Linked DNA regions of Notamacropus eugenii. The protein of the gene in region 1 purifies or fractionates together with the protein of each later gene. This does not show direct contact. Links are inferred from orthologs where the notes say so. Each region holds a gene or a part of one and is shown in the gene's direction. Other genes may lie near its edges.

Region 1 (7,525 bases):
TGTGTTAAGTGCTGGGGACACAAAGATAGGTAAAAAATAGTCCTCACCCTCAGAGAGCTTGCATTATAATGAGGGAAACAATGTATAAATTACTGGGTGCATATGTGATACAATGTGTAAATTACTAGTTGAATACATGATATATATACAAAGGTTATAAATTAATGTCAGAGGGGAAGGTTGGAGGAACCATTAGATGGTATTTAAGCTGAATCTTGAAGGAAACCAAGAAAGCTAAAAGGTAGAGGTGAAGACAGAGGGTATTCCAGGCATGGGAGAAAGCCAGCGCAAAAACACAGTGTCCTATACCAGAAACTAACGCTGAGTGAAGTGAGTAGAACCAGGAGAACATTGTCCACAGCAACAGCAACATTGTTCGATGATCAACTATGATAGGCTTAGCTCTTCTCAGCAATACAATAATCTAAGACAATTCCAAAAGATTCATGATGGAAAATACTATCTACATCCAGAGAAAGAACTGTGTAGTCTGACACATACCATTTTCAGGGTTGGTTTTTTTTTTTGGTATGTTTTTGGTTTTTCCTATGGTTTTTCTCTTTTGTTCTGATTCTATTTTCACAACATGACTAATGTGGAAATATGTTTAACCTGATTGTACATGTATAACCTATATCAGATTGCTTGCTGTCTTGGGGAGGGGAAAGAGAGGGAGAGAGAAAAAATTGGAACTCGAAATTTACAAAAATGAAAGTTGAAGACTATCTTTACATGTAATTGCAAAAAATAAAATACTATTAAGTGCAAAAAAAAGTTAGACCCTCATGAATCTTTAAAGTTTCTTATATGAAGTACAAGGTTTATATAAGGATAAAAATGACAAGTGGTACATAAAAACCGAGTTTCTCTTTAGTTTCAGGATTGGAAAACCAAATTTAAGAGATTGTACTTGCATTAAATCTTGTTACTACTTGATTTTATCAGAATTATCTAGGAACCTTTAAAAGTGATTTGGAACCAAAGAAATTGAGTCTCCTTTGGAGCTGCCCTGAGAATGAGGCCTATTCCAGCATGTTCAAGGGAGAAGATATCCAGAGAACAGACAACAAGAGACATCTGGTACTCAAAATGTGTTGATGAAAATGGGAATTGGGAGTGGGTTACTAGGATACAAGGAGACTTCATTTTAGATAATATTGATGATCATTATTGTGTTGGTTTAGCCTTTTATTTCATGGTGTTTATGTTTAAGTTTTCATGGTTACCCTGGTGAAATATAAATTAGTCCACTGTAAGCCCTCTAATTAGCATGATCTATATAACCTGACTGATGTAATTTATGAATATATGAAAAATCTTATGGATTTGGCTTATAGATAAGTGATCCATGGAGGGAATGAGCTGCCACTCTCCCATGAAAGAAAAGGGGAAAATTGAGGGAACTGAATTGTGGGAACTGGGTGAACCATATCAGGTCCATCTTGTGAATCAATTCTGGAGCTAGCTGAGTTCCCTACTCAGTTAGTGGTATATTTCACTTTCTGTCTTGTGGGAAAACTTTATTCAGTTGTAAGAATTGGGGGAAAACTCCATTGCACTGTTTGAACCCAGCTCTGCATACTTGGGAGGCCTGTTTAGAGATCCTTAATTAAGACCAGAAACCCAATCAGACCCCAAAATTGATACAAGTAGTTTTCTCACAATTATACATCTCAAGCAATGTCTTTTCTGAAAACTGGCCCCATACTGATCACTCATTTACTGTTATCATGTTCCTCTGATTTTTCACAGATATGTGGGGGAAGTGGAATATCCTTTTGATTTCAAGGAACTGCACCTGTTTCCTCTTCTAACCAGTAAAGTCCCTGATCTTTCTTCTACTTAGAAGTCAGTTTATCCAGTGTTATATTCTGGTTATTTCCTCTTACTCAATTGGTCTTACTTGATTGTTTTTAATGTATACTAATGTGTCTCCACCTGCGTTTGAGGTCCACTACCAAAGTTGAGGAAGGAGACTGGTCCCAATTTGTCAGGCAAGTAGCAGCATTGCTGAATAAACCAAAATGCTCAGAAGTGCAAGCCTTTTTTGGTTTCCTTAGTCATTTCATCTTCCACTTGCCACAAAAAGGCAAATTATCACCTGGGAATGGAGCAAAGGAAGATTGAAAGAAGGATGATGTCAAGGTGATTTGAAGTATGGAATATAAGTATTAGATAAGGCCTTCTGCTAAGAGAGAACAGGGAAGGTATTGGTACGGGCAGCTTGAAGAGCGAAAATACACTTTGGGACAGACTTTCAAGACTGTGATAGTTCATCGGGAAGAATAAAAAGATTGGCATACAGGAGTGAGGGTTCAGTTGAGACAAGATAACACAAACTTATAGTAGACCTAGTCAACCGGATTTTATGATTTCTTCCATTTGTGTTGGATATATAGTCATAATAAACAGATTTTCTAGCACTAAGTTGGGAATGCAGCTCCTTGCATGTGATAATCATTTGTTTGCCAGATGCAATAACACTTGGGCCAGAAGTAACATAAAATCTTAAGGCTGGAAGAGACCTCAGATGTTACCTAGACAAATGATCACCTAGCTCCTGCTTTCAAAATCCTCTATATGTTTAAATGCATAAATGGTTGTTGTCCTTTATTCTCAAAGAGGATCAAAATGACATCACTATGTTGGAATAAAGGTACTGTGTCCAACTCTGCACAATACAACAGCTTGGAACATTTTACCTCAGGTCAGGTACAGTCCATATGAACATTTGGAGTGGCGATGTCTCTAAATTTGTGCATATGTGACAGTTGCTAAATTTTCTTGAAACAAGAGCTGTTTTCTTTCAGGTCTTTTTGACCACAGAGTAGAATCCTCGTCTGCCACAGTAAGCAGGCCAGGGTTGGGTAAGGTAGACAATTTTTAGGTCACCTTTTCTAATCCCTTCCTCACACCAGGAGTTAAAGGGTAGTCCAAAAACAGCTGCTCAGACACCCAGGTGGCTACCAAATCCCACTCCTGGCTTCCAGTGAGAAGAGGTCCCTGTGGCCTGGCCACCTGTGTGCAGCACTGTGACTACCTGCTGCTTGGTCACTTACCTGTCAACACAGGGCTTTGAAATAGGTAAAAATGGTAAAATGGAATAGGTGATGTTTTCTGAGGCACATAAATACACACAAACACGCTTATCACAGTCCTTTACCTGAAATAAAAGGTTTATTTTATACATGTTACTTAGGAGAAGCAATGTGGCATGGTGGAGAGGGAGGAAGACTTAGTCCTCTCTGAAACACATAATGCCTATGTGACTACGGGGTAGCATAGCAAGGTCCATAAAACTTTTAAACTTCTGTAATAGTTTTCACGTCTGGTCTCTGAAGTTCTATATTCCTTTCTTATGTGTGTAAGAAGTTGGTTTTGCTCTTTAAAATTATGTAACAACTAGTGCTATACTTCTTCACTTTGAGGAGGAATTACTAAATGGATAATCCCTTTTGTAACATGCATTCTGGGCTGCTCCCTCAACTTGAACTTGTACTGGCACTCATGGGTTGGGTCCTCAGAAAGGAGCTGCTGCCAAGAAGTTTTAGAAGGGTATCCAGGAGCTACTCACTCCTAATAACTTTGCAAGCCCCCACCAGCGGTTGGCAATCAACCAGAGGACAAAATTAGTTCTTAGCAAAGATATTTACTAAGATGATACAGCAAAGGCAAGTTACAACCCCCCCCCCCCCCCCATAAAATTAAAGTATGCCCTCCCACAACGTCCTCCAGAGGAGTGGGCATACACGGGATAATCAGGTCTTCACGAGCATGCGGCCCAAGCAGTGGGAACTCCAGAGCCTGGAAGTCCTCTCTCTCCTCGGGGAACCCAAGATCTAGCCCTCAGTGCCGTGTTTCTGCGGGGAAGATCCGGCTGGGCTCTCGATCCCTTACCATCTGCCTTCTCTGCAGCAGGGGTCCTGTTCCGCCTTCCAGGGAGTGTCTTTCTACACAAATGTCTCTCAGCTGTGCCTACAACTCTCAAATGCGTGGACGGGAAGCGTCCCGAGGGGCGCTCGCTGCCAGGTGCCACGGTCACGGGAGGGAGGCAGGAGAATTCTCTGCGTGCCCCACAAAGCCAAGCCAAGCCATGAATCTCCCCGCGGGGCTTGGCTATTGAAAGCCCCCAAATAATGATTACGAACCAGGCCTGAATGCCGCGGCTTCTTCCCCAGCCCAGTCCTGCACTGAAATAGTTTCTTTCCTAACCCCCATATTCTCTCTCTGATCCTCAGGGTGGAGGCCCACTAGAAGCTTAGGAGGCTGACGCCACTAAGACCCTAGGCCTACGGGTAACTCCCCCTCCGCTCCCCGCCCCCTCCAACGGAAAGCGCGGCGCCTTCCCCGGTCACGTGACCTGGAGAGAACAAGGAACCGTCGGATCCGCCTGGGCGCACGTTCTTGTGCGTACGCGCCTATGCGTGCGTGCTTGCGCACGTTCGGACGCACACCCGCCCACCCCTGACCTTAACTACGGAGATGGATAGATGACGGCGCAGCCTATCAGCTGCTTCTGTGTGCTTCTTTCTGGGGCCTCGGCGTGCGCGCGCGCGCGCAGTTCCCTGCCTCCCCTCAACCCCTTTCCGGCTTCCCAGGCAGTATGGCTGCCACAGCCACGATGGCTACTTCAGGTTCTGCTCGGAAGCGGCTGCTGAAGGAGGAAGACATGACAAAAGTGGAATTCGAGACCAGCGAAGAGGTGGATGTGACCCCCACCTTCGACACGATGGGTTTGCGGGAGGATCTGCTGCGAGGCATCTACGCCTACGGTGAGCAGGGCGCGGGCGCTGCCGGGGGCCGGCTGGCCGAGGCGGGCACGCACGCTGCTGGGAGGGAAGGACGCCCGGGCGGGGGAGAGAAGGGCAGATTGTGTTCAGGGCCAGTGCTACGAGGTGCGCTCTGGTTAGGTCGGGTGTCGTTGTAGGCCTTCGGGCAACGGGCAGCCCGAGCAGCTCCAAGCTCCGCCCCGCGGTGACCTCATTGGGAGGCCTGCCTGCCCGCTTCCCTCGCGGAGTCCTCGAGCTCGCTGCCCCGAGCATGCTACGGAGCCCGCGGAGGGAGGGGTGGGGGAGGAGGAGCACGCTTCCCGGACCCTCATAAGCAGAGTAGCAGAGTTGGAGAAACCATCTACTAACTTCAGTCTAGTTCAACCTCCCATCTCTCAGCTGGGGAAAACTGAGGCTCCTAGAGGGAAGTTCCACAGCCAGTTAGTGGCTCTTGACTGCTATATGCTTGCTGGACTAATGCATTTTTCCACCAATTAAAATCCCTCTATTCTAGAATCTTTCTGCTTTGTATCTTTATTTTCTTTGGGAGATGATCGATCTCTAGTCCAACTTACCTCATTTTACAAATGAGAAAATGAGCTTTCACAAAAGGTTTCTTGGGAATGTTTGAACACTGAAAGTTAGGTACTCCAGAGAACTATAATTGGCTTAAGAGGAAAACACAAGTCTACGTTAGTTAGAATTCCAGCATTATAAATCGTTTCTATTTTACAGTTCGGTAACCTATCTTTAAAGTATAGTGAGGTTAGGGTGATGGAAAATTTGCATAAAATTTTCAACGTAATTATATTTTACATAAAGTTCACTTTACAAAGGTTTTTCCTCATAGCATCCCCATAAGGTTGGAAGTACAAATATTATTATTCCTATTTTACAGAAAGATATACTGAGACTTAGAATCTATTTTTGCTCAGTCTCTTGACTCTAATGTTGGGGTTCATAGTCATATCCTGGTCTTGAAATTCCAAATTTAGTGCTCCTGCTACAAGATCATTATTAGTAAAGTAGCAGATAGTGATTTGTAATTAATAAATATTTAATTGAAATATATTAAATGTTTTTACTTAGCCTAACAAAGGGGGTGAGGGTGTAGCATTTATTAAACACCTTCTATGTGCCAGGTGTTATGCTAGGCACTTTAAAAATACTATCTCATTTTATCCTCAGAACAATCTACTATTATCTCTTTTTTAAAGTTGAGGAAACTGAGGTAAACAGGAGTTAAATGCCCTGTGCCACACAGCCAGTAAGTGTATGAGGACAGATTTGAAGTGGAAAAAATTCTCAGTACATTAATGTGAAAAAGTTATTGAGTTTAGGCTAGATGCTCAGTGATTCAGAAGACCCTGAAAATTCATAAGGAAAAATATTTTGAATTTTTTATTCAATAATAATATAAACTCCTAGTTGTTATTTAAATCTTCTTCACAAGCTAGCTCTTCACTAGCGAAGGACAGACTGACCACCTTCTAATCTTATTATACTTAAACACACACACATTCAGCCAGACTGCCTCATGCTGATTCTCACACAAGGCATTCCATCTTCTGTCTCTGCTGCTTTTCCATAGATTTTGTTCCCCATGTTTGGAAAGTATCATGGTGGGCCCTTCAGTTCTCCCAGCCTTTGATTTGAACTTCTGACCTATAGCATCTGCTTTGATATGGCATTTTTTTTTTTGACCCACCTACATAAACTCTTATTTGGACTACCAACTGTGCAAAAGCTGGTTTAACTGTGGACTTGGGGTAATCGCTGAAGAGTCATTTGTTATTTCAGCATCCATAAAGGGTAGCAACTCTTTTTCCAAGTGTTTCAGTATTATCAGTTTCTTCTATCTGAAATAGATAGTATATTTAGCAATACTGTAAACTGAGAGTCTTTAACTTCAGACTTCATCTTACCAACAAATCTTCAATTATGAACACAGATATATAAATTTTTTCTTGTTTTTAAGTAATTTCATTTAAATGACAAATATATTTTATCCCCAGTATCTCACATTTATTCCTTCCTGCCCTTTGAAACCACTACACTAACTCAGGCCCTTATTGCCCTCTCATTTGGATTGTTATAAAGCCTCCTAATTGGTTTTCTTGATTTTAATCTATCTGTTTTCCAACCAGCTTCCACACAGCTGCTAAAATTGACTGTGTATGCCACTGCTTCCACCCCTACCCCCGCTTGCCTCTAGAATGAAATAAAAACTTCTTAGCCTGACACATTTTACATTACTCTTCTTTATAAAAGTCTACATTTCCAACCAGACTGATAAAGATTTCCTAAAATAATGCTCCATTTCCCAGCTCTATGAGTTCACACATACTCCTTCCCCATACATGGATATCTACTCCCTCTTTATCTTTGCCTCTTAAAATCCTTAGCTTCATTCATAGCTCAGTTCAGGGAACACCTCATTTCCTGATGACCTCCATCCTTTCGTTTTTAGTGTTGTCTTCCTGAGATTATCCAGTTGTGGACCTGTTAGGTAAAGGTCACATAACAAAGTAGTGGTAAACCTAAGAATAGAATTCAGGGCTTCTGATGATCTTTAGCCTGCTCTTTCCATTGCACCAGTTCTTTTCAACAAACATTTATTACACACCAGCTTCATGTAGAGCACTGTGCTAGATTTACAGAGAGGAGTTTGGAAGACACAAAGTCTCTTCATGAGGTTTAGTCTAGTTGGGCAGACGTGACTCGTGGATAGATAATTATGATACAAAATAACAGAC
Region 2 (7,775 bases), on another chromosome or scaffold:
TGCTGCCCAAGGTTGTGTCCAAGACCCTCTTCTCTTCCCTCTCTCTCTGTTCTTATCTGCTCTTATCTTTATTCAGACAACTCCCAAATTTACATATCCGGCTTTCACATCTCTAGAGCTCAAGTCATTGCCAAATGTCCAGTGAACATCTCAGGAAAATCAGAATTTGAATACTACTTCAGACTCTGTCTCAGTTTGCTCATCTACAAAATGGGGCTAACTACTACTACTACTACTACTACTACTACTACTACTTCATAGGGTTGTTGTGAGGTTGAAATGAGATAATACATGGAAAGTGTTTTGTAAATCTTAAAGCACTTTAAATATTAGCCATTATTATTATGACTACATCCACACCTCAAAATTAACTTGTTTAAACCTGAAATCATCTTCCCATGCTACAGTGTCCTCCAGAGGTATCGATCATGAGGCCCTGATGCAGTTGAACTCCAGTTCAAATGTATTCGGGAAATAGTTAACAAAATAAATAAAAATACGATAAAATACAATATTCCATTTTGTGGTTGGTATGTTGTTCCAGTCATGTCGGACCCCATTTGGGGTTTTCTTGGTAGAGATACTACAATGGCTTTGCCATTTCCTTCTCTACCTTATTTTGCAGATGAGGAAACTGAGGCAAGCAGGGTTAAGTGATTTGCCCAGGGTCACACAGTTAGTAAATTTCTGAGGCCAGATTTGAATTCAGGAAGATGAGTCTTCCTGACTGCAGGCCCAGCACTCTATCCACTGTGGCACCATACATAATGTTAATATGTGGTTTTCTAAGTCAACCTTCTATAGGGTTTACTGGCCCCAATTCTCTTTGTGTTTGATACCAGTGGTGAATGGAGGACTTCTGTTTGAATCTTGCCTCTGACATTTTCCAGCTTTGTGAGTATGAACTAATCACTTTTTTCTTTCACCTTCCATTTCCTCATCTCTCAAATGGGGATAATAACCCCGTCTACCCCACAGGACTGGTGGGAGGTGCAAATGGGAAAAGGTACATGGAAAGTGCTTTGGAAATTGCAAAAAGCTTTAAATCTGTTATTATTATCATGATATCTGTAGTGAGTGCCCTCTGTAAATCCTATAGAACCACACAAACATCAGTTATCATCCCAATACTTTGCAAACATTGAAGTGCTTCATGTCAGCTATTATATTATTATTTCTCCAAGCCTGCTCAACTCCCCTTTGGGGGCATAGGATGTTCCCAAGCTCCATCCTCCAGACTGGCAGCTTCCGCATCCTCTTGGGCGTTCTTCTTTGTTCCTGACCCCACCCAACATCCAGACAGTTGCTTTGCTGCTCATCCCTCCTGGCCTCTCTCTGCCTCTCAGTTTGCCTGGTCTTCTTCAAAACTCAGTTCCAATCCTACCTTTGCCAAGAGGCCTCTTTCCCTGTCCCTCCAGCCGCTAGTGCCTTCTCTCTGAGATCACCTTCCATCCACATTGTCCAGTATATATCCTGCACATTCATGGTAGTTTTCTTATTGTCACCTCAAGTCAAATCAGAACCGTTGAGGGTGGTGGATTGCAGTTAATTGAGGTGGATTGTGATTAATTCCATTTTTTTTCCCTCCTTAATGCTTAACACAGATTATGCATTTAATACTTGTTTAGGGGCAGCCAGATGGTGCAGTAGATAGGATGTGGCCTCAGACACTTGCTAACTATGTGACCCTGGGTAAGTCACTTAACCCTGATTGCCATAAATAAGCAAATAAATGCTTGCTTATTGGACTGACTACGTCTCTCAAATCTGCTCCTTTCTATCTAATCAAATGGCCAACACCATTCTAACGCAAGTCCTAACCAAGTCTCTTATTTTATTTCCTTGCTTCTAGTCTAGCTTGCCTCTATCCCACACTTTACACAGCTGCCAAAATAATCCTCTAGTCACTCCCCTTTCTCAAAATCCTGCCATGACTCCCTATTGCCTCTAGAAGAAAATATTAAACTCCTCATAATCTGGCTCCAGCTAACTTTTCCAGTCTTATGGCCCATCATTCCCCTTCATGAATTCAATGCAATAGCTAAAGTGTTGTTCTGTCAGTCACTTCCAATTCTTAGTGACACTGTGCACCATACTGTCCATGGGGTTTTCTTGGCAAAGATACTGGAACGGTTTGCCATTTCCTTCTCCAGTTATAGCTAAACTAGATTATGGCAGAATCTAGTATCTCTCCCTGGCTATCTTCTGTGTATGAAGTGCAGCGGAGAGAGCACTGAAATGGAATCAGGAAATTCTGAGGTCAAATTTGGCCTCAGATACTGACCAGCTGTGGAACTTTGGCAAGTCATTTAACCTGTTTGCCTCAGTTTCCACATCTGTAAAAATGGAGATAATAATAGCAATTACTTCCCAGAGGTGCAAGATAATAAAATAAATAAGGATAAAATAAGTTCATATTTGTGAAGCTCTGTAAACTTTAAAGTACTATAAATGCTACCTATAATTATTATTATTATGTCTTTCTAAATTCTTCTCTTCCTTCAATGGTGACCTTAGGTGCTACCATTTTTAAGTAACCTTTCCTTAATCCTCTCCTCATTCAATCCTTCCCACTCAGATTTTCTGAGAGTACTTTGGATGGATCTCTTTTGGTTTTGTTTTGCCTCTCTTGGGTCCATGTTACATCCTTACCTTTGCCCCCCACCCAGTAGAATATTCTCCTTGAGGCAGGGTCTCCTGTCATTTTTATAGTATTTATCTCACCAACATCCACTTCAGGGTTTTGCACTGGTCGGTACCTCCCCCAAATCTTTGTTGAATGAATGAATGAATGAGGAAGTTGCTGTGAGGCAGATTTCAGCTAGATGTAAGAAAAAGTTTCCTGACCATTAGGGCCATTCCAAAGTTGAATGGGTTAGCAGAGGCTGAAAGGTTGCTTGTTGGCCATGGTGCAGAGGGGAATCTTGTTCAAGTATGGTTGAACATAATGCTATAAAGGTCTGTTCCAGCTCTGAGAACCTGTGATTCTGTGGAAAAGAGAGAGGAGATAGCAGGAGGAGAGTAGAACCTGGGCAAATCTTAATGTGCATAATCTCTGATGCATCCATCACCCACAAGCAGGGAACCTTGGTGTTGAAAGCAGCCCTCTAGTCCAAGTCATGTCCCCTATGGCAGGGGTGGCTTGAAGACCTTTCAGGTACAGGACATCACTCTTGAGAGGCCATGCACTTCCCTAGGAGAAGGCTGTCATATAGTCTCTTGTAGTTTGTGGGTGTCCACCAGACTTGGAGCTCCCTGGCCAGGAGGCCAGTATCTCACTGTCCTGGGTTGTGATCCCACGCCATCTGCCACGCGTGGGGGCACGTTTCAGGAAAGGCATGGCCAACCTGGAAAGACCCGAAGGAGGGCTGGCAGGGTAGCGACGGTGGCTGGAGAATTCCTACGGACGGATCCGAGCGGTGTTCAGCCTGGAGGGTGCCAGTATCCGAGGAGCTCCTGGGCAGAGGAGGGGGGCTGCCTTGAAGTCCATTTCCAAAGTTCCTCAGAAGAAGGCTGCCCCAAAGGGACAAGGGCCGCTGTGTCCTGGGGTGGCCGGCCCCTTCCTGCCCCGAAGCCTGCAGGCAAAGTTTGGATGACCATTTGACCGGTACGTGGTAGACGAAAGAAAGGAAAAACTGGCCACATCTCTGAGGTTCTTTTCCAGCACAGAGATTCTGAGGGTCTGGGTCCGATCCCGACTTCAAGTGTGGGCAGGCCCCGCACACACCAGGAGCCCCATGATTGCGGATGACACTGCCAGGATAGCGCCGGGGAGTCACAAAGCCTCGGGCTTCACAACCACCGGGTGTGACACGCGGAGCAGAGCCGAGCCCGGGGGCTTGCGGGCCGGGCAGACCCCGCCCCGTCCCCGCCCCACGCGCCCAAAGGTCTGCAGACGTCTTAACAGCTCTGCCGGCAATCCCCCCACGAGGCAAGCGGTGGCAAGGGTCAGCCTCGGGCTGCAGGGTCAGGCCCTCTACTTTAGGCTGAGTCTCAGTTTCCTCATCTGTACAATGGGGATCACAAAGAAACGGAAGCGGAGGGCCGCCCGGCTCCGCCCCCACCGCCTAGGCGTGGGGCCGAGCTGGAGTCGCGAGCTCCGGGAGGGCGGGGCCGGGAGGGCGGTGTCGAGGGCGCGCCGGGGCGGATGGGCGGGAATCCCCTTTCGCGGGGGGACGAGCCCTGCAGCTCCCCCTGGTATCCCGCCGCCCAAGAGGGGGCGCACGAGCCCAGCAGGCCGTAGACGTTCAACGACCCGCTGGCCCCGATTGGGACTGAGGGAGGGGAGGAGGGAGAGGGAGAGCGACAGGAGTCACGTGCTGGGCGGCCGTTGGACGCCCAACGTCCGCCCCTCGGGTTCCCCCCGCCCCCTCCGCGGGGGTGGGGAGATCAGAGGGCGGGCCCCACCCACGCGTTGGCTCCGCCTCCCTCCTTCTCCCGCCCTCCGCGCCTCGTGCGCTCTGCGTGCCTCGTCAGCACGCTCTCGGCGTCCTCTCCGAGGGAGGCGGGGACTGAAGGGAGCGAGCGGAGTCCCGACCTAAGCGGGGGGTTGGTGGGGGCAGTGTCGGGCACGCGCGCGGCGGCGGCGGTTCCTGGTTTAGCGTGTAGATTATATAGGAAGAGGAGGAGGCTCGGGAGGGAGGCTTTGAGGCGAGGCCCTGGTCGGGGTCGCGGCGCGCGCGCTCTCGCGGCGGGTCGGTTCGGTTCGGGCGGCGGGCGCGGCCAGGCCTTGGGCGCGCGGGTTCCGAGGTAGGCGCGAGGCCGCGGGCGGAGCCGGGCCCTCGAGTGCGAGACCAGGCCGGAGCCGGCGAGGCGAGGCGAGGCGGAGCGGCGGCGGCAGCAGGCCAGGCCCCGGGCGGCGGCGGCGCCATGAGCGTGGAGGCGTACGGGCCCAGCTCGCAGACCCTCACCTTCCTGGACACTGAGGAGGCCGAGCTGCTGGGCGCCGACACCCAGGGCTCCGAGTTCGAGTTCACCGACTTCACCCTCCCCAGCCAGACCCAGACGCCCCCCGGAGGGCCTGGCGGCGGCGGCGGAGGCGGTGGCGCGGGAGGGCCGGGAGCCGCGGGCGTCGGGGGAGCCGCGGGCCAGCTCGACGCGCAGGTGAGGAGGGCTGGGGCCCTGCCCCTCCGGCGGAGCTCGGGGGGCTGCCCCCTCCCCGCCTCGGGGGCCGGGTGGCGAGGAGGAAGTGACTCGCCCCGGGGGTAGGTAGGAAGTGGAGCCCGAGCCTGCCGCCACCCCCTGCGGGGGAGATCTGGCCCTTTGGGGAGTTCGGATCCTCCCCCTCCTACACTTTCGCTGTGGGGGAGGGGCTGCCCTTAGAGAAGGGGCGTCATTTGGGGTGGGGGGGCACCAATCCCAGGACTCCGCAGCCTTTTCGGGGGAAGTGCAGCTGACAGATTTCCTTCCTCTCGGAGGCCAGGGGGGCTCCCTTGGTTTCTGAAAAATCCGACTGGGTCGGGGTGCAAGGGGCTTCCTGCCCCCCAGCTCCCCACCTGTTCTTGCTCCACTTTGAAAATGTGAACCTGGCAAAGATGGTTTGCTTTGAGCCAGGTATCTGTTACTCTCTCTTTCCAGGAAACTGAATTTTACCAGGCCCGGGATGTGCAGGGGACACAGCTTGGTGTTCAGATCGGAATTTTTTTTTCCCCCTCACATCGTAGAAGTACTGTTGTCTTTTTAAATGTGTGTGGGACTTCCTACTTTTAATTACAAGTGATTTCTTATACAGGGTCTTAGCAAGGTTCAAATACACATGTTAGTGGCAGGTCGTTTTTCTCTTCCTATTGGCTTTACCTTGTTGAAAACTTTAACCCTTTATGAAAGCAACAGGTATCGTAACTTTCACTTTTATGAAATACTTTAGAACAGATACGCTTCCTGCTACCTGGATATGGATCTCTTTCTTCCTGAGTACAGCCATCTGTTCTTATCTGATTGGCCCAGTCCTGTCTTTGTTTGGTCGTTACCTGACTCCTAATAGCTGTGTGACCCTAAGCGAATTAATCTCTTTGAGCCTCAGTTTACTTATCTGTAAAATGAAACTAATATTTGACCTACATACGTAGCATGTTAGTGAAGAAATCTCTTTGTGAGCCTTAAAGGGCTACAAAAATAAATATTTCCAACATTTTGAGTAAGAGCTGGAAGCTTTTCTCTTTTTCTTTTTTTTTCTTTTAAACCAAAGTTGAGTTCTCTTGAGGTTGACAAGGGGCCTGAGCTTCCCAGAGATGAAGTGATGTGCTCATTGTACTTTAGGGATTGAGCATAGTGGAACCTTTTGGATCCAGATCTTTCTCAATTCAAGGCTCTTTTTGTTACATCATACTGCTTTACAACATTATTTCTTTAAAGGTGGCAAGTTGGTGGGTGGAGCATCTGGTTTGAACAGGTGTGCAAACATGTTCTGCCTTTTTGCAGGTACTGAAGGAGGATTTGCCTAAAGAACTTGGGAACCAGAGAGAAGGATAGTAGAAATTTCTAACACTAGTATCAGTGCTCTGTAAAACATCATGTCTGTATATCAAATAAACCAAAACAATCACATATATGTAGGTACTTTCACATGTAATATGTAGCAAATATGTCAGATTGTACTCAGTGAAAATCTAATTTATAATTAGCCGTGATGCTCTTTGTAGAGAGGAGAGGAGAGGAAGGAGCTGGGTGGCATTTTGTCTACTTATATAGTGCTTTACAATTCACATGGTTTTTGTTAAGAAACACAGTAGTTTAGATTATAAATGGCAGCTGATAGTTTGTAGAAACTACCTTGATGGAAGTGTATTCTTGGGTAACATGAGTAGTTTACCTGTGCTTCACAGCCAATATGTCTAAAGTAACTTTGGGTGGTGGCAGTGTTGTCCAGTTTATAGGTTTTGTTGCTGATAGCTTGATAGCTCAGAAAGCTCCTGTTTGGTTTGTCATCAGCTGGTAGTAGTTGTTTGTCCTTTGAAATAATGGTTATTTTCATAAAGACTAACATTTCATTTTAGGTGAGCAGAACTTGTCATTAAGGTGACTACCGAAGTAAAACTTGATGTTATTGTTAGCAGAAATTTCTTCTGCATTTATACAATGCAAAGGTACCTCTCCTTCAATTTTCTATCCCTATTTAAGGAGAAAAGGTGAAGATTTAGTTTTTTTGTAGAGGAGATGAGGACCTTGATTGATAGGGATATGGAGAAGCAGGGTCAGTTTTGAAAAGATCTATCCCCAAGGTGCATTCAGGATCAGTATGTCTTTTGTAGTAATTGATGTCACCAGGTACTTCAAAACACTTGGGAGCTATTTATCTTACCTGAATTTCGGAGCTAGTGATGTAATCAACTGTAAGAAAGGAGATCCTAAACTAGAAACCATTGAGCTTTTTTTTGAGAAATGATTCAGGATTTTAAAAGGGGGGTGATTTTTATGATTTTGACACTTTTGAATAATAAAAAGAGGGTAAAATTCTTTATCATTTGAAGTGCTGGGTTTTGGTTTTTTTTACATTACCTTTGACTTTGCCTGTTAGAATCATCAAATATTAGAACTAGAAGATGATCTTTAGGTGATCCAATCCAACTCCCTGGTTTTGTAGATGGAGAAACACCCAGAGAGGGTGAGTGACTGACGAGAAAAATCTAACTTATTTCTCCTGACCTCCAGTCTAGTTTTTAATCATATGGTTTTATTATTATTTTTTTTAAAGACAAACTTAACTGATTAAAAGATGGAAAGTTATAGGCTGATTAGAACAGGAGAATGAGAACTGGAAACCTACTCCAGCTACT
Region 3 (7,958 bases), about 230 Mb from region 1:
ATGATCAAGGCAGATCCCTGGGGCACTCCACTGGAGACTTCTAGTAAAGTTGACATCAACTCTTTAATCACTATACCTTGGTATCAGTCATTTAACTATGCTATTATGTTGCTTACACTTCTCCATTTTATCCACGAGTACATCAAGAGACATTGTCAAATTTGTTCTATCTTCCAGAGATGAGCTATCCTTATGGAGCCAGAGACCCAAAGTCAGTTGGTATGAGATTCTCTCTTTATTGGTGGACATCAACTTCCAGTGCTTGTGTGAGGGGCAGGATGGAGTTGGTGAGAACAGGAAAGAGAAGAGTTTCTATCTCTTCATTCACAGCAGTCTCTTCCAGCTCTTAAATCCCCTTCCTCTCTTTGGTTTGTGTATTTGCTTTGGGGGTTTCTGGGCTCCAGGTTTAAGAGAGAAGATGAGCAATGCCAATCCACTTCAGGTTACTGATGGGAAAATAATACAAGAGAGGAGCTAGCAGTCTCCTTCATGTCTCTATTCCCAGTTTGCTACACTAGAGACTGGGAAATTTCCTCTGGGACTCTCTCAGTTGAGCTGAGTTGTGTTTCTCCCCATGGGAAAGGGCCTTCACTGTGTATTGTGTGGTATATGTTCTATTATGTATACATTCTCTGATTTCTGTTTTGTTATTGATTTGGATAAATGAATTTTTTTTGCTAAGTGCTATGTCTGTTCACTTTGGAACTGGCACCTGGTGGGAAGGGACTTCTTCTTTTCTTCATTAATAAACGGGAATTAGAGGTTTAGCTTGAACATGAAAATTACATCCTTTACACTAACAATATTTAAGAGAGCTAATAGACAGACGTCTAGCCCAGTGTCCCTTCCTCCTAAAGAAAGCAGAGTGTTCAAGCTTCTGGCTCTAACCTCCTACTTTTCCTCTTTGCAGGAAATAGTTTCTCTTGGAGAGGGTTTGGGAGAGAAGAGGCAAAAGGGTGTCTACTCTGCCTTGCTTTGAGCAACACAATGACACTTCTATGCTTCCTGCTTCTTGCAGCCCTGAGGCTACGTTTAGGCTGTTGTTTTTATATTGTCTGATTTTATTCACTTAATTAGCAAGTGTTGATTAGGAAACACATAATTGTTATTCAACATTTTAACATCCAAGTATATACAACAAAGATTATTATTGCCCTGCCTTAAAATCATTTTAGAGACAAGTCCATAAAACAAAGAAATGAGGGAGAAAGATACCTATCTTGTCAAGTATTATTCATCCTAATAAATGTCTGGTTTTACCTTGTCATAGGCCTCAGTTTCCCTATCTGTGAAATCAGAAAATTGTAATAGATGAGTTCCAAGATCTATTCTAACTGAGTCTGGCTTATGACTTCATTATTCAACAATATCTGATCTCTTCAAAGTCATTTATGATTTCTTTATTGGTAAATCTAACAGACTTTTCTCAGTTCTCATACTTTTTGACCTCTCTGCAACCTTTGAACTATAAATAACCCTCTTTTTAATATTCTCTTCTCTCTTGACTTTTGGGACACCGCTCTTTACAATTTCTCTTCCTACCTGTCTGACTACTCCCTTTCTATATCCTCTGTTCAATCTTCAGATCTGGTTGCTGAACCCAGATGGCTCAGGAGGAGAAAGTGAGGCTGGTGACCTTGCACAGCCTTCCCTCACTCAAAACAAAGTCAAATATAAGTCATGTCATCATTTCTCTGTTATGGTCGCCTTAGAAAACGAAGGACGAACACAGCCTGTTCAGCCTTCATCCCCATCATATCTGCCAACCATGGAAGACCCCCAAAGTTCTGTCCTAGATCCTCTTCTCTTCTCTCTCCATATTGTTTCGCTTGGTGAATTCATCAGCTCCCATGGTTTCAACTGTCTGCTCTATACAAATGACTCACAGATTTACTTGTCTAATCCTAACCTCTCTGGACCTAACATCTAACATCTCCCACTGTCTTTTAGACATCTCAGACTGAGCATCCCTTAAACTCAACATGTCTAAAACTGAGTTTATTATCTTCCTCACCCCCTCCAAACCTTCCACTCTTTCTAAATTCCCAATTACTGTGGAGGGTACCACCATCCTCCCCAATCACTCCAACTCAAGATCATCCTCAATTTCTCTGTCACTCCCTATATCCAATCAGTTGTCAAGCTGTATTGTTTCTACTTTCATAACATTTCTCAAATATGTCCCCTTCCTTCTTCTGACACTGCTACCACTCTTGTGCAGACACTTATCCTAGACTCCTGCCTAGACTATTGCCCTAGACCACAGGTGGGGAACCTGCAGCCTCAAGGCCACGTGTGGCCTTCTTGATCCTCAGGTGTGGCCTTTCAACTGAGTTCAAGTTTTACAGAACAAATCCTTTTATTAAGGGGTTTGGATTCAGTTTGGAGTCAATTAAAGGGCTGCACTTGAGGACACAGAGAGTCACATATGACCTTGAGGTTGCAGATTCCCCATCCCTGCATGAGACTATATGCCAATTAGCCTGCTGTTGGGTTTCCCTACCTCATGCCTCCCCCCACTCCTATCTATCCTCTACTAAGGTATCAAATTGAGCTTCCTAAAGTGTACATCTAACCATATTGTCCCTCTGTTCCATAAACTCCAGTGGCTCCCTATCATCTCCACTATCGAAACTAAAATCCTTTTTCGTCATATGAAGGCCTTCATGACCTCTCCATTCTTCAGAGTGTCAGCATATCTTTCCAAGATTTTTATACCTTGCTCACTATCATGGACTCTGTGATCAAGGGACACTGGTTTTCTTGCTGTTTCTTGAACGTGACAAGCTAGCTCCCTCTCCACTGAGCTTTTTCACTGGCTGTCCTTCATGCTTGGAGGGCCTTCCTTCTCATCACCATCTCCTGACTTCTCTGGCTTTTTGTAGGCCCCAGCTGAAGACCTATCTTCTTCATGAAGCCTTTCCTAGGCTTCTGTAAGCTTAGTGCCTTCCCTCTGAGATTACCCCTTATTTATCCTATTGTTGTCGCTATTTGTCCTTCATTTTCAAAGAGGACCAATGATACCACAGGATGATATCTTGACTTCCTTATGAATTAGATTTAAGTGAGGCAGAGTCATCAGCCTCGTTCTCTTTTCCAGAATCATCAAAGCCCAGTGTCAGGGCAAAAGTCAGGACAACTGGAGATGACCTGGGATGCATTGGATGATCTTGGCATCTTCAATGTCTAACCAAGTTCTAAGCACTCCACAGCACCTGCGTCAGCCCCCTTCATGGCTCTTGGAACAAATTGTTATCACCTGCCCATTCGGCTGGGGGAAGTCTTCACATCCTTGGAATAGATAGTCTCCTAACTCATCAATGGGTTTTCAGCCTGTCAATTACCCACAACCCGATTTAGCCTATCTGCAGAGACGGTTTTACTGAGGTATGGCCCATTCACATGCTATAGCTTCTTGGAGGCACAGATGAGAATACATACATACATGCATGCATGCATACTGTAGAAGAGTCCCTGAGATTAATATGTCTGTTTTCTATGCCCCAGAAATGTCAATCAGGTGAAGCCCAGCCCTCAAAATATAGAGTAGTCCAAGCTGGATTGAAAGTAGAAGTTTTATTAGGAAGAAAATCAGACAAAGGAGCCCACAGCCCAGGAGAAAACCATATAGGGGAGGTTCAGGGGAAGGGCTGGGAAAAGGATGGACAATCTTTCCCAGAATAAGTGGACATAGAAGCAGGAAGTTTTGCAGGAACAGATGACAGCAAGACTGGTTTAGGCCAGTTGGGTGGGGCTCAGCTCAGCAAGGTCAACCAGGTGAACACCAGCAAAGGTCTGGGGGTAGTAAGCAAGACTGACTCCGAGCAGCAAACAGGATTATTGTGTTCCCAGGGCATGTGCCTGGGAAGGGAACTCATAGAAAAGACACATTAATCTCAGGGGTACCTCCACATTCCACATCCACATATTCATATACATGAACGATAGGTGTGCACCTATACACACACATTACTGTATGTAAACATACACGTCTCTGTATGTGGCAGGTGCGATCACATGCATTACATGTACACACATGTGCTTGTTGGCACGCACACACATACTGCATGTGTTTACACATGTGCATGTGGGAGAAGTCAGGCTGGTGACCTCACTCAAAACAAAGCCACGTCCTCCAGTGACGTCATCCAGTGACGTCACGTCGTTCCTCGGAGGGCAGATTTGGATCCAAACGCAAGGAGGAACACGCGATATGTAAACACTAAGGCAGCGACGATACAACTATAATTAGCATATAGACACTACATACAAACACGTTAAGTGTTGGGGGTACCACGCTGCTCGCGTCTTGTCTCTCCCCGTGCGCACGCGCCCCCGGAGGGCAGGGCCTGCTTTTTCTACCGCTCGGCGTCCTCTCTCAGGATTCCCGGCGCTCGGCGCTTCGGACGCGCCTCCTAAAGGCTGACGGAAGGCCTTGGGGCCTCCCGCTTCAGTCTAAGCGCCCGCGGGAGGGTAGAAGCGCGCCGAGAACCTCCGGCACACGGACGTTACACAAGTCTGCGCCATTTTGCACCGTGCTCTGGGGACGGGTTTCCATTATTTTTTATACACCGGCACACGGCACCGGGCCGATAAACGATAAGGAGGCCCAGCGGGATGGGGGAGGGGGCCGACCGACAGCCGACACAACGCGCGCAGTGCGCGCACGCTCGGCTGCTGGGAAGCGGGCCTTGCTTGGCGGGACGGGCGCAGCGTCCAGCCTCAGGCCTGCTCCCGGCAACCAACCGCTGTCCGAGCCGAGGTTCACAACTTGAGACGAAGGGCGGGCCCTTCCGAGATGTCGGTCATCGCGTTCCTCGTCCTCTGATTGGCCAGAGCCCTCTGTCACGTGGCCTGGGGCGGCCGCATATAAGTCGGGAGGCGAAGGTTGCGTTCCGCCATTTTGTGGACGTCGGGGGAGTAGCGCCACAGCTGCGCGGGGACGGAGCCGGGAGGAGCGGGAAAAACCCAGTCGAGCGGTGGGAGTCGGATCCCCGCCTGTTAAGCCACAGCACCCGGTAAGGAAACGGGCAGCGGAGCGGGCGATTGGGTTCTTTTTCGTCGCCGTCGTAGTCGTGAGGCCCGAGCGGGGCCGAGCACAGACAAAGAGGCGCCGCCGCCATTTTGTGACGTTCGGCGGCTGGCGGTCGAGCCGCCATTGGTAGTGCGGGGAGGGACCTCCGAATCCCCGACCAGGGGCTGGGCACCCGGGGAGCGCTGGGAGGGGAAGCCCCGCGGGCTGAGGCGAGGGGATGGCCGGGGAGTGGGGGTGGGGAGGACGATGCATCCGGAAGAGGAACCGAGGCCGCCCGGGCGCGGCCTCCCGGCTCATGGCGCCTCTTCTCGCCTCACGGCAAATTGATCCTCGGTGGTTGCCGTGGGCTTGGCCTCCGCGGAGCCGAGCTTCCTTCCCGCGTTTCTGCGGGCGGGGGTGCGTGTGGATGGAGGGCCTCGGTCCTCCCGAGTGCGGGGGCCGCGGAGGACGCTCGGCCTGCTGGGAGCTAGGGAGGGAGGGAGGGGGCCGCCGCCTCCCCCGGCGGCTCCCAATTACGTGTGGGCCCTTGGGGGCCTCCCGCGCGCGTGGCGGGACCGCAGGCGGCCCGTGGGTCCCGCGCGATGCGGCCCCGGTACAGGCCTGGGACCTCCTTTTTTGTTTTGTTTTGTTTGAGACTTGTGCGAGGTTCCGGCCCGGTGGAGTTTCCCTCCCCGCATTCCTAGCAGCCTGTTCTGACTTGCGTCCTGAAAAATCCGTAGGTTGGGTGTGGCGTGCTTTACAGCGAGCATGGGTTCGGACTGGCGTTAGGGGGTGCAGTTGGGAGCCCCGTCTTGAAGTCTGCGGCCTTGGGGTTCGGATCTTCCTATCTGTGTCCAACGAAGTTAAAAGTTGGGTTGATGTTGGGGTGAGCGGGCCAACCAAGAATGCGGCATACTTGACTTTGTTACGTAGGGTTGTTGGTTACTTATCTTCCTTTGGCTCCATGCACCTCCTCGCCAAGGATACACAAAGCAGTAGCGACCCCCTAGGAAGAGTATTCAAATCGGCATCCATTGGCAATTTTGAAGGATGATCTGCGATAGTTGATTTACAAATTAAATCAACAGCCTTTAAACATTTAATATACACGGCAGTATTTACGGTTGGAATTGTAAAGAAAAATAATTCCTGGTCTGGGGCCCCTCGCTCTTAAATGAAATGGGAGAGACCGCAGGCAAAGAACGGTAGAAACAAGACATACAGGATAATTTGGAGAGGATCTCTGAAAGAGGACCCTAGCATAAAACGGAAAGTCTTCTTTCAGAAAACATATTTACAAAAGAATTATTAAATGAGTAAATGAGTCTTTGGTTTTGATTATGCTAATGATCACAAAGTTATGGTTTTCAAGGACCGGCTTATGGGTGGGGATGTTGGAATGAAATGACACTGGCCTTTTGCCAAAGACTTTGCTTCTGGAGCTCTTTTCCCCATTTATGCTGCTACGGAAAAACAAGATAGTTTCTCAGAGGGAGGTGGGTTGGTGAGTAGTTAACAGACTTAAATTAGATTTCATTGGACTTTCCTTGTCTTTGATATTCTAAAGGAGTGCGCTTAGTTATAATTATCTTAAGTTAGCATCTTAAGTCATGTTGATTAAGAATTTTATTAAAGTTTTGCAAATACTAAACGTTTTTTGCTATTGTCTCGTTACAGAGATGCATCGTGACTCTTGTCCACTGGATTGTAAGGTTTATGTAGGTAACCTTGGTAACAATGGCAACAAGACTGAATTGGAGCGAGCTTTTGGATATTATGGACCACTCCGAAGTGTGTGGGTTGCAAGAAATCCTCCCGGCTTTGCTTTCGTTGAATTTGAAGATCCCAGAGATGCAGCTGATGCTGTTAGAGAACTAGATGGAAGGTAATGCCCTATGTAACATCTCTGTAGTTACTTCTCCTTAATATACAAATTATGCGTTTACACATTGAATTCACTAGAGGAAATTACAATGAATTGTATATCATAAAACTATAGCACAATTACATAGACAGCATTTTAAAGGAGTGACTTCGTTTTACAGTATTGAAAACTAAGGCAGATAGAGTATAGCTAATTTGCCTGCCATCACATAATTAGTATCACTTGGGAGACTTTTATGATAACCAGTGAAATTGTACAACTAGATCACTACCATATCAGTGAGCAGAATAAATGAGTTACCAGATTTAGTGCAAACTTCATAATCCACAATAAAGTTAGCATTTTTGTTAGGCAGCTACATAGACTGTTTTTACTCAAGGGGTTTCACTCCTTTCTTGGTGACTTAATTTTTTTTTTTTTTTAAGAGTGATTATTGAGCTACTTCTAAAAATGAATACTAGGATGAGGTTAGAGTTGATGGCCACCTAGTTCCCTTGTTGCTGTCAGAATTGTGCTTTGGTATCACAAAAACCACTGCAGAAAATGAATCAAGCTAAAATTGGTTAGTGTTTTTTATGCTTAATTTATCTGTCTTATGCCATCTAGTGTTCAGATGTTCCTATTTTGGGGCCCTAAAACACATATATGCTAACCCACTCATTTGTGTTACCATCTTATTGCTTCTGCCTAGGTCAGGAGATTATTAATCAATGAGCTTCAATAATGGCACATTAATATATACTTGTAAACTGTACTGTAAAACAGAAGGCAACCAGATAATCAGGGTATAAAGTTGTGTGGTAGAATAGAGATCATGTGAGCTCATATAAAGTGCTTTTAAGGGTGTCAATTTTAAAATACTAAAAATTAAAAATACAATTTTGAAATGAAATAGGGTAAACCAAGGTCAGTGTTAGAGATCCCAAGTGCTTAGAGAAGAATTCTTAACACAAATATTGTCTGCTGCATTGGAATACAAAGTTGAGACATGGTCTTTGACCTGTTAAAAAGATTTATCTTGTAGATTTCCCTCCAAGTTTCTCAGCATCTTGGACCTAT
Region 4 (7,114 bases), on another chromosome or scaffold:
CCAGCACTGATAGGTGAACTTTTTGCCTTATCTGGCCCAGAAACAGGCCTATTTTGTCTACTCTCCTCACGATGTTCCCCAACTCCAGCACCCTCTCTACCTGCTTTCCAGTATCCCTTTGTCTGTTGTCTGCATTATTTACCTATACCTCAGTCAATAAGTATTTATCAAGAACCTACAACGTGCCAGATACTTGCTAAGCTCTGAAGATACAAAAAGAAGCAAAAGGCATCCCTGCCCTTAAGGAGCTCACAACGTAATGGAAAAGACAACAAGCAAACCCTTATAAACAAGCTATATACAGGATAAATACCAGTAGTGAGCATTTAATGGTGAGATTAAAACCCAAGTCTCCAGACTGCAAGTTCCTGGCTCTTTTCAAGGCATTGAAGCATCCCACATGATAAGACAATTAATGTTTGTTTTTTTCTATTAAGTTGAATTCTACTCATTGTCTGCCAAGTCTCAGCTTTCAATGACTCCCACCAATTTACCACCTTCTTTCCTACACATGGGTTGCTGAATGAAGGTGGAGAAAATTATGAAACCATTCCGAGTCTACTACAGATTCATGTTACACAACATCAACTGGACTCTCATTGCTGCTAGGCAATTCTATTACACCTGCCTCACCAACTTGCTATCTCACGCTCCCCTGTGGTTCTTCTACACCTTTTCTTCCCTCTTCAGTTCTTTCATGGCTTCCTTTCTTGTCTCAGTTGAGATCCTTGCCTCAAATTTTACAGAAAAAAAGAAAACTTAGGCCATTAGCCTCTTCTCCCTCTTCCCTATCTACTATCACTCAACTCAGGTGCCTTCTGCCACTATCTCCTCCTTCACTCTTATTTCATATGACAAAGTAGCCTTATTCCTTATTAAAGTTGACTTCTACTTGTTCAAGGACCTCATTTCATCCTGTCACCTCTAAAAGACTGCCCCCTCTGTCATCACTTATTTTTAGTCTCTTCCAGTCAAATGGCTCATTCCCTACTGCCTACAAACAGGCCCATCCCATGTTTTTTTATCCTGATAAAGCCTTCTTTTCATCTTTCCATCCCTGCTAACTCTCATTTCATATCTCTTCTGTCCTTCGTATCTAAACTCCTCAAGAAGGCCACTTACAATAGGTTCTTCTACTTCCTCTCCTCTTACTCTGTTCTTAACCCTTTATTATCCAGCTTCTGATCTTGTTTTTCCACTGACATTGCTCTCTCCAAACTTACCAATGAGTTCTTAGTTGCCTGGTTACATGGCCTTTTCTCAGTCCTCATTCTCCCCACCCTCTCTGTGGCCTTTGACATTTGTTGATCCCCCCCCTCTTTTCTCTTAAGTTTTTGGGACACCACTCTCTTTGTTCTCCTACCTACCTGACCCCTGGTTCTCCTCCTACCTTTCTGATAACTCCTTTTCTGTCTTTGTTGGATCCTCATTCTGATCTGGTTTCTCTTAGGATTCTGTCCTGGGTCCTCCTTTCTTCTCCTTCTACAATTCTTCACTTGATGATCTCATAAGCTCCCACAGATTTAATTACCATCTCCATACTGATGACTTCCATATCTATCTATCCTGTCCTAACCTCTCTGCTGACCTCTAGTCTCACATCACCAACTTCCTTTCTGACATCTCAAACTGGATATCCAATAGGCATCTTTTTTTTTTTTTTTTTTTTTGTTAGGGTAAGAGCTCCTTAAAGGCAGAATCTTTTTCTCAGGCTCCCTAGCAGAAAGCCTTGTGACATAATACTGAGACATACTTACTGAGTTGAATTTAATATAGACATGTCACGAGACATGTCACAAGAGGCAATGTAATGTTTTATTTATTTTTTTGGCAGTTTTAAAATTTTTTCTTTATTTTCATTTTTAACACAATTCATATCACATGAAACAATTCCAACTTTTGGTCAGGTGATACTTCTTTTAAAGCATTTACAATATAGACCACAAATGAATTTTTTTTTAACATTAACCAACTGAGACACAAATAGTAACTATGTACGCTAACTTCACATTGTCTCCACACTATTACTAAGAACCAGTAGACATCTTAAACTAAACATGTCCAAAACAGAACTCATTATCTTTCCCCCTAAAACCTCTTCCCCTCCTACTTTTATGATTACTGTAGACAGCAATACTACCCTCCCAGTCCCTCAAGCTCACCATCTAGAAATCATCCTGGACATCTCATTATCTCTACCCCTCCCTTCCTTTCCCCCCTACATTCCCCATATCCAATCTTTTGCCAAGGCCTGTCAATTTCACCTTTGCAACATCTTTCACATATACCCCCTTCTCTCCCCTGACACTACCACCCCTCTGTTATAGGTCCTTATCACTATATACCTGAATTATTATTTTTTAAAAATTTATTTATTTTTAGTTTACAACATTCAGTTCCACAAGCTTTGAGTTCCAAATTTTCTCCCCTTCCCTTCCTTCCTCCCTCCCCAAGATGACACGCAATCTGATATAGGCTCTACATCTGCATTCACATTAAACACATTTTCACATTAGTCATGTTGCAAAGAAGAATTATAACCAATGGAACGAGACACAATAAAGAAGAAACAAAACAAAAATGAGAGAATAAATAGTCTGCTTCCATCTGCATTCAGACTCCATAATTCTTTCTCGGGATGTGGACGGCATTTTCCATCATGAACCTTTTGGAGTTATCTAGAATCTTGCATTGCTGAAAAGAGCCAAGTCTATCAAAGTTAGTCATCACACAATGTGGCTGTAACTGTGTACAATGTTTTCCTGGTTCTGCTCCCCTCACTCAGTATCAGTTCATATGCATCTTTTTAGGTTTTTCTGAAGTCAGCCTGCTCATCATTTCTTATAGCACAACAGTATTCCATTACATTCATATACCACAGCTTGTTCAGCCATTCCCCAATTGATGAGCATCCCCTCAATTTCCAGTTCTTTGCCACCACAAAAAAAGCTGCTATAAATATTTCTATACATGTGGGTCCTTTTCCCATTTTGTATGATCTCTTTGGGATATAGTCCTAGAAGTAGTATTGCAGGGTCAAAAGGTATGCACATTTTTATAGCTCTTTGGCATAGTTCCAAATTGCTCTCCAAAATGGGTAGATCAGTTCACAACTCCACCAACAATGCATTAGTGTTCCAATTCTCCAGCATTCATAATTATTCTGTTTTGTCATGTTAGCCAATCTGACAGGACACACCTGGATTATTGCAATAGCCTGCTGGTGGGTCTGCCTGCCTTAAATCTCTCTCCACTCCAATCTATCCTCCATTCACCACCAAGAGTGATTTTCCTAGAGTACAGGTACAACTATGTCATTCCCTTGCTCAATAAACTCTAGTGGCTCCCTATCATCTCTAAAATCAAACACAAATTCTCTATTTAGTAATAATAATATCTATTTAACACTTACTATGTGCAGGCAAGGTACGAAGCACTTTATAGTAATTATCTCAATTGATCCTCACAACAACCCTGGAAGGTTGGTGCTATTATTGTGTCATTTTACAGATGAGTAAACTGAGGCAGACAGAGGTTAAGCGGCTTGCCCATTTTCTCTGGCTGTCCTCCATGCCTGGAACGTTTCTCTACCTGCTGAGTCTTCTGGCTTCCTTCAAGTCCCAGCTAAAATTCCATGTTTCCCAACCCCTCATAATTCTAGTGCCTTTTTCCCTGTTACTTATTTGCATTAATCCGGTGTATAGCTTGTTTGTACATATACGTTATAGTATGTACATATGTACATGCTGCCCCAATTAGAGCGCAGGGACTGTCTGGCTTCTTTGTATCCCTAGGACTTGGTACCCAGTAGCACTCAGCGCTTATTGATTGATTGACATTGACCTCAATTAGGGTTGAATTCATTAACGGATCGGTAGCCAGAGGCTTTAGAGGATCAATAGATGAAAGCAGTTTTGGCAATGTCCTTCCACACAGCATTCTGTATCATTTGTACGTAGTGTAGTATATGCCAGTTACTTTCAGGAAGCAGGCGGGGCCTTCCCAAGGCGGCCGTTAGAACCGCCTACGTCACCAGAGGAAGTCGTACGTGGAGCGCCGGTGACGCGGGGGTCACAGACGCCCAGGGTGGGCCTGGGGCTCCTCCGCATCCCCAGGGGGGGGAGGGGAATCTGTCAAGAGAATGGGAAAGGAGTGGGGAACTGACCGGGCAGCGTGTTCTTTCATTTATGAAGAAACTTCGTTATAAACTCAGTTCAGCAATTCACACCTCCAGGAAAGGCTCCCGCATCCTGTGGAAATTGTTCTTTTCTCGCGGAGGGTGAAAACTGCGTCATTGAAAAGGGGGCGATGAGAACCCCGAGACTGGTGAAGATATAGGGAGGGGCGGGAGGAAGGCGGGGTCAGAAGAGTAAACAGGACACGCCCTCGATTTTGACCCCGCCCCCAGCACCGATCCCTCCTACCCGGCCCAACGCTGACTCAAGGCTCCAGGAACTGGATGCGCACGCGCTGTAGGGAAGGTCTCATCGTATAGTGCGCCTGCGCCGAAGAGCCGCCTCGCCTTGCTCCGCCTCTTCCCTCCCTATAAGTCTGTCGAGATTCTCCTCGCGAGAGACTTCGTTCATTCATGCTCGCGGCCGGGGTCGGAGGTCACAGTGAGCGTCTAGGAGGCCGAAGGAGGAAGATGGCAGTGGAGTCCCGCGTCACTCAGGAGGAAATTAAAAAGGAACCGGAGAAGCCCATTGACCGGGAGAAGGTGAGGGCCCGGGGCCGCTGGGGTTCCGGCGCAGGCGGAGGCGGGGCCTCGCTGGAGGGTGGGGGTGGGGAGCCGCGGCCTGCGGGGGGGGCGGGGGCGGGCGGCCCCTGCTGGGGAGCTTGGGGGCGGCCGGGGGGCCGTGGGGGGCTGCGGGAGCCGGGCCGGAACCTCCCTCCTCCCTCACGCGGGTCTCCGCTTCTCCGCCCCCGCACGCAGACGTGCCCGCTGCTTCTGCGGGTCTTTACCACGAATAACGGCCGGCACCACCGAGTGGAAGAGTTCTCCCGAGGAAACGTGCCTTCGAGCGAGCTGCAGATCTACACCTGGTGAGCGGTGGTCCTGGGGGAGGGGCGGGGCGGGGGGTGAGGCCCCCGTTCCGTAGGCCCCGCCCGGCCCCCTCACCCGTTTTACCGCCTTCTGAGGGAGTGGCCTGGGGAGTTTGGGTCATCGGGGCTAGAAGAGAGGTGCCCACCTGGCTGAAACCTCCCGTGGGCTGGGATTGACCAGCGTGGCTGCCCCCTGACCAATGGTAGTGGCCGCAGTGCAAAACTTTTCACGTCTGAGCCTCACCAACAAGCACCCTGGCGCAGCGGGGGCTCTACCAGAGGCTTGGAGGTATCCCTGATACCAGTGTGAAGGAACAACAGTTTTGGAGAGGCTGCTACCCAGGGTTAGTTTGAGAAGTCGAAGTGGAACCCAGGTCTTCTGAACCCCAAACCATAATTAGGTCCTCAGTCTTCACATCTCAACCCTATTTTAGTAGATAAGAAAACAGCCCCATCCCCATGCAGTCTTGGTGCCTCTGAAGGCTGGGAGTGGGGTGTTGACCCATATAACCTCACCTCCTTCTGACTTTGCCAATTGAAACTCTGTGAAATGATTTGTGAATTCAGCTATTTTGAAAAATGTGTTTTTCTGTGGTGGTAGGGGAAAACTAGGTTTCAGCTGTTATAGGGGTGCCTGATTAAATAATGTTATATGAATGCAGTAGAGTATCAGTCTTTAAAGAAAAGGTGAATATCAAGTATTCAAAGGAACATAGAGTTTAATACTCTCATTTTGACTCACCAGAGTTCTGTGACTCCAAAATTCAGCACTTCCTGCCGTGGACACATAGTTTCTTTTCATTGGGAAGCTAAATAGAAAAGCCTGATGTCCTTTCTTTTGTGTTTTGAGTAGGACACGTTTTTATTACTTGAGTGGAGTTAACTTTGTAGTCTCTGTTCTGTAGGGTTCACTCTTCTATATGTTAACTGTGAGGTTTGGTAGTGATTGTTTTGTGAACTAATATTGTAGGTCGTTAAGTGTTAATAACTTAATTTTCTCAGTGCCCTCCATCTACCACAGACTTCACAACCCGTTTGTCATTTAGATTTTTTTTTCAAGCATTGTTATTGCTCCCAAAATTCATCACCCTGTGGCTTTAGCAATGAGCCTATCTAACCGCTAACTAGAGAACAACAGTGTGTTTAAAAAAAAAAAAGTTAAATGTCTAATAAAAGGACATTATAATAATAAGAGTTTAGTTTGCTGCTCAGTGTTCTAGATGAAGTAGTTTGGGAGCTCTCACCTCTCCTATTTGTACCTATGCCCTTATGGCAGCCTACTCTTGAGTTATTTCTGATTCTTCCTCTTTCCCCACTAAGGTTATTTACCAGATTGGCAGCGTTGTGTGAAGGCAGGCACAATAATGAAGGAGTGGGGAAAAAATTGGGAACATGCAAAAGGAGTGATACCATTACTCTCTAGGAGGTCAAACATGGGCCCTGTGTAGGTGAAAATATTCATAGCAGTACCTTTTGTGTCAGCAAAAAATGAGAAATTAAGTGGGTACCAACTGGCTAGGGAAAGGCTCCACAAATTATATATCTATATAGATTATCATTCTCCTGTAAAAAATGACAGCTATGAAGACTTGAAAGAAACTTGACGACTTATATGACTTTACAGAGTAAAGTTGCACTTTGTAGGAGAGCAGCATATGCAACTACAGTAATATGAATGAAAAAACTAAAGAAAACTGATGAATAATTAGAATTTTTGTCTTGAAGAATCACAGTTGAAATATACTTCTTTTTGATAAGAGGTAGGGAACTCAAGGTGTGGAATGTTTCTTTCACTGTCAAGCATAGCTTTGCTACTTTTTTTCTTTCTTATGGAGGGACCTGGTACTTTTTTGAAGAAAGTATATCTGGAAATAGCTGCTGTAAAAACAAAAGACATCAATGAAACTTTAAAAATATATGTCCATTTCCTGGTATGCTTCTGAATTAGCTGTCACAGGGAAAAGAGATCTGAAAATAACTCACATGAAGATTGTTAATACTTAAAGGTTATTTTAGAATGCTGGACTTGGTAGAGCAGAAAACCTGAGTTTGAACTAATTTTGAGGAAGTT

What was found. Proteins that work in one complex are often made in the same cells at the same time.
Region 2: the proteins of EIF4A3 (region 1) and UPF1 purify together in Homo sapiens (co-immunoprecipitation; 8 studies listed by BioGRID and IntAct, with this or other methods). This does not show direct contact. The link is inferred for Notamacropus eugenii from reciprocal best matches to the Homo sapiens genes EIF4A3 and UPF1.
Region 3: the proteins of EIF4A3 (region 1) and SRSF3 purify together in Homo sapiens (affinity purification with mass spectrometry; 3 studies listed by BioGRID and IntAct, with this or other methods). This does not show direct contact. The link is inferred for Notamacropus eugenii from reciprocal best matches to the Homo sapiens genes EIF4A3 and SRSF3.
Region 4: the proteins of EIF4A3 (region 1) and SAP18 fractionate together in Homo sapiens (co-fractionation; 3 studies listed by BioGRID and IntAct, with this or other methods). This does not show direct contact. The link is inferred for Notamacropus eugenii from reciprocal best matches to the Homo sapiens genes EIF4A3 and SAP18.

The regions. Positions count from the first base shown.
Region 1 is NC_092873.1:322,650,600-322,658,124, reverse strand, and holds the start of EIF4A3 (eukaryotic initiation factor 4A-III), read left to right. Parts: upstream 1-4,439; 5' UTR 4,440-4,603; coding exon 4,604-4,772; intron 4,773-7,525. UniProt on the Homo sapiens protein: ATP-dependent RNA helicase. Involved in pre-mRNA splicing as component of the spliceosome. Core component of the splicing-dependent multiprotein exon junction complex (EJC) deposited at splice junctions on mRNAs.
Region 2 is NC_092875.1:66,552,472-66,560,246, reverse strand, and holds the start of UPF1 (regulator of nonsense transcripts 1), read left to right. Parts: upstream 1-4,698; 5' UTR 4,699-4,869; coding exon 4,870-5,103; intron 5,104-7,775. UniProt on the Homo sapiens protein: RNA-dependent helicase required for nonsense-mediated decay (NMD) of aberrant mRNAs containing premature stop codons and modulates the expression level of normal mRNAs.
Region 3 is NC_092873.1:93,993,999-94,001,956, forward strand, and holds the start of SRSF3 (serine/arginine-rich splicing factor 3), read left to right. Parts: upstream 1-4,881; 5' UTR 4,882-5,018; intron 5,019-6,691; 5' UTR 6,692-6,693; coding exon 6,694-6,899; intron 6,900-7,958. UniProt on the Homo sapiens protein: Splicing factor, which binds the consensus motif 5'-C[ACU][AU]C[ACU][AC]C-3' within pre-mRNA and promotes specific exons inclusion during alternative splicing.
Region 4 is NC_092876.1:188,251,370-188,258,483, forward strand, and holds the start of SAP18 (histone deacetylase complex subunit SAP18), read left to right. Parts: upstream 1-4,037; 5' UTR 4,038-4,588; coding exon 4,589-4,717; intron 4,718-4,933; coding exon 4,934-5,043; intron 5,044-7,114. UniProt on the Homo sapiens protein: Component of the SIN3-repressing complex. Enhances the ability of SIN3-HDAC1-mediated transcriptional repression. When tethered to the promoter, it can direct the formation of a repressive complex to core histone proteins.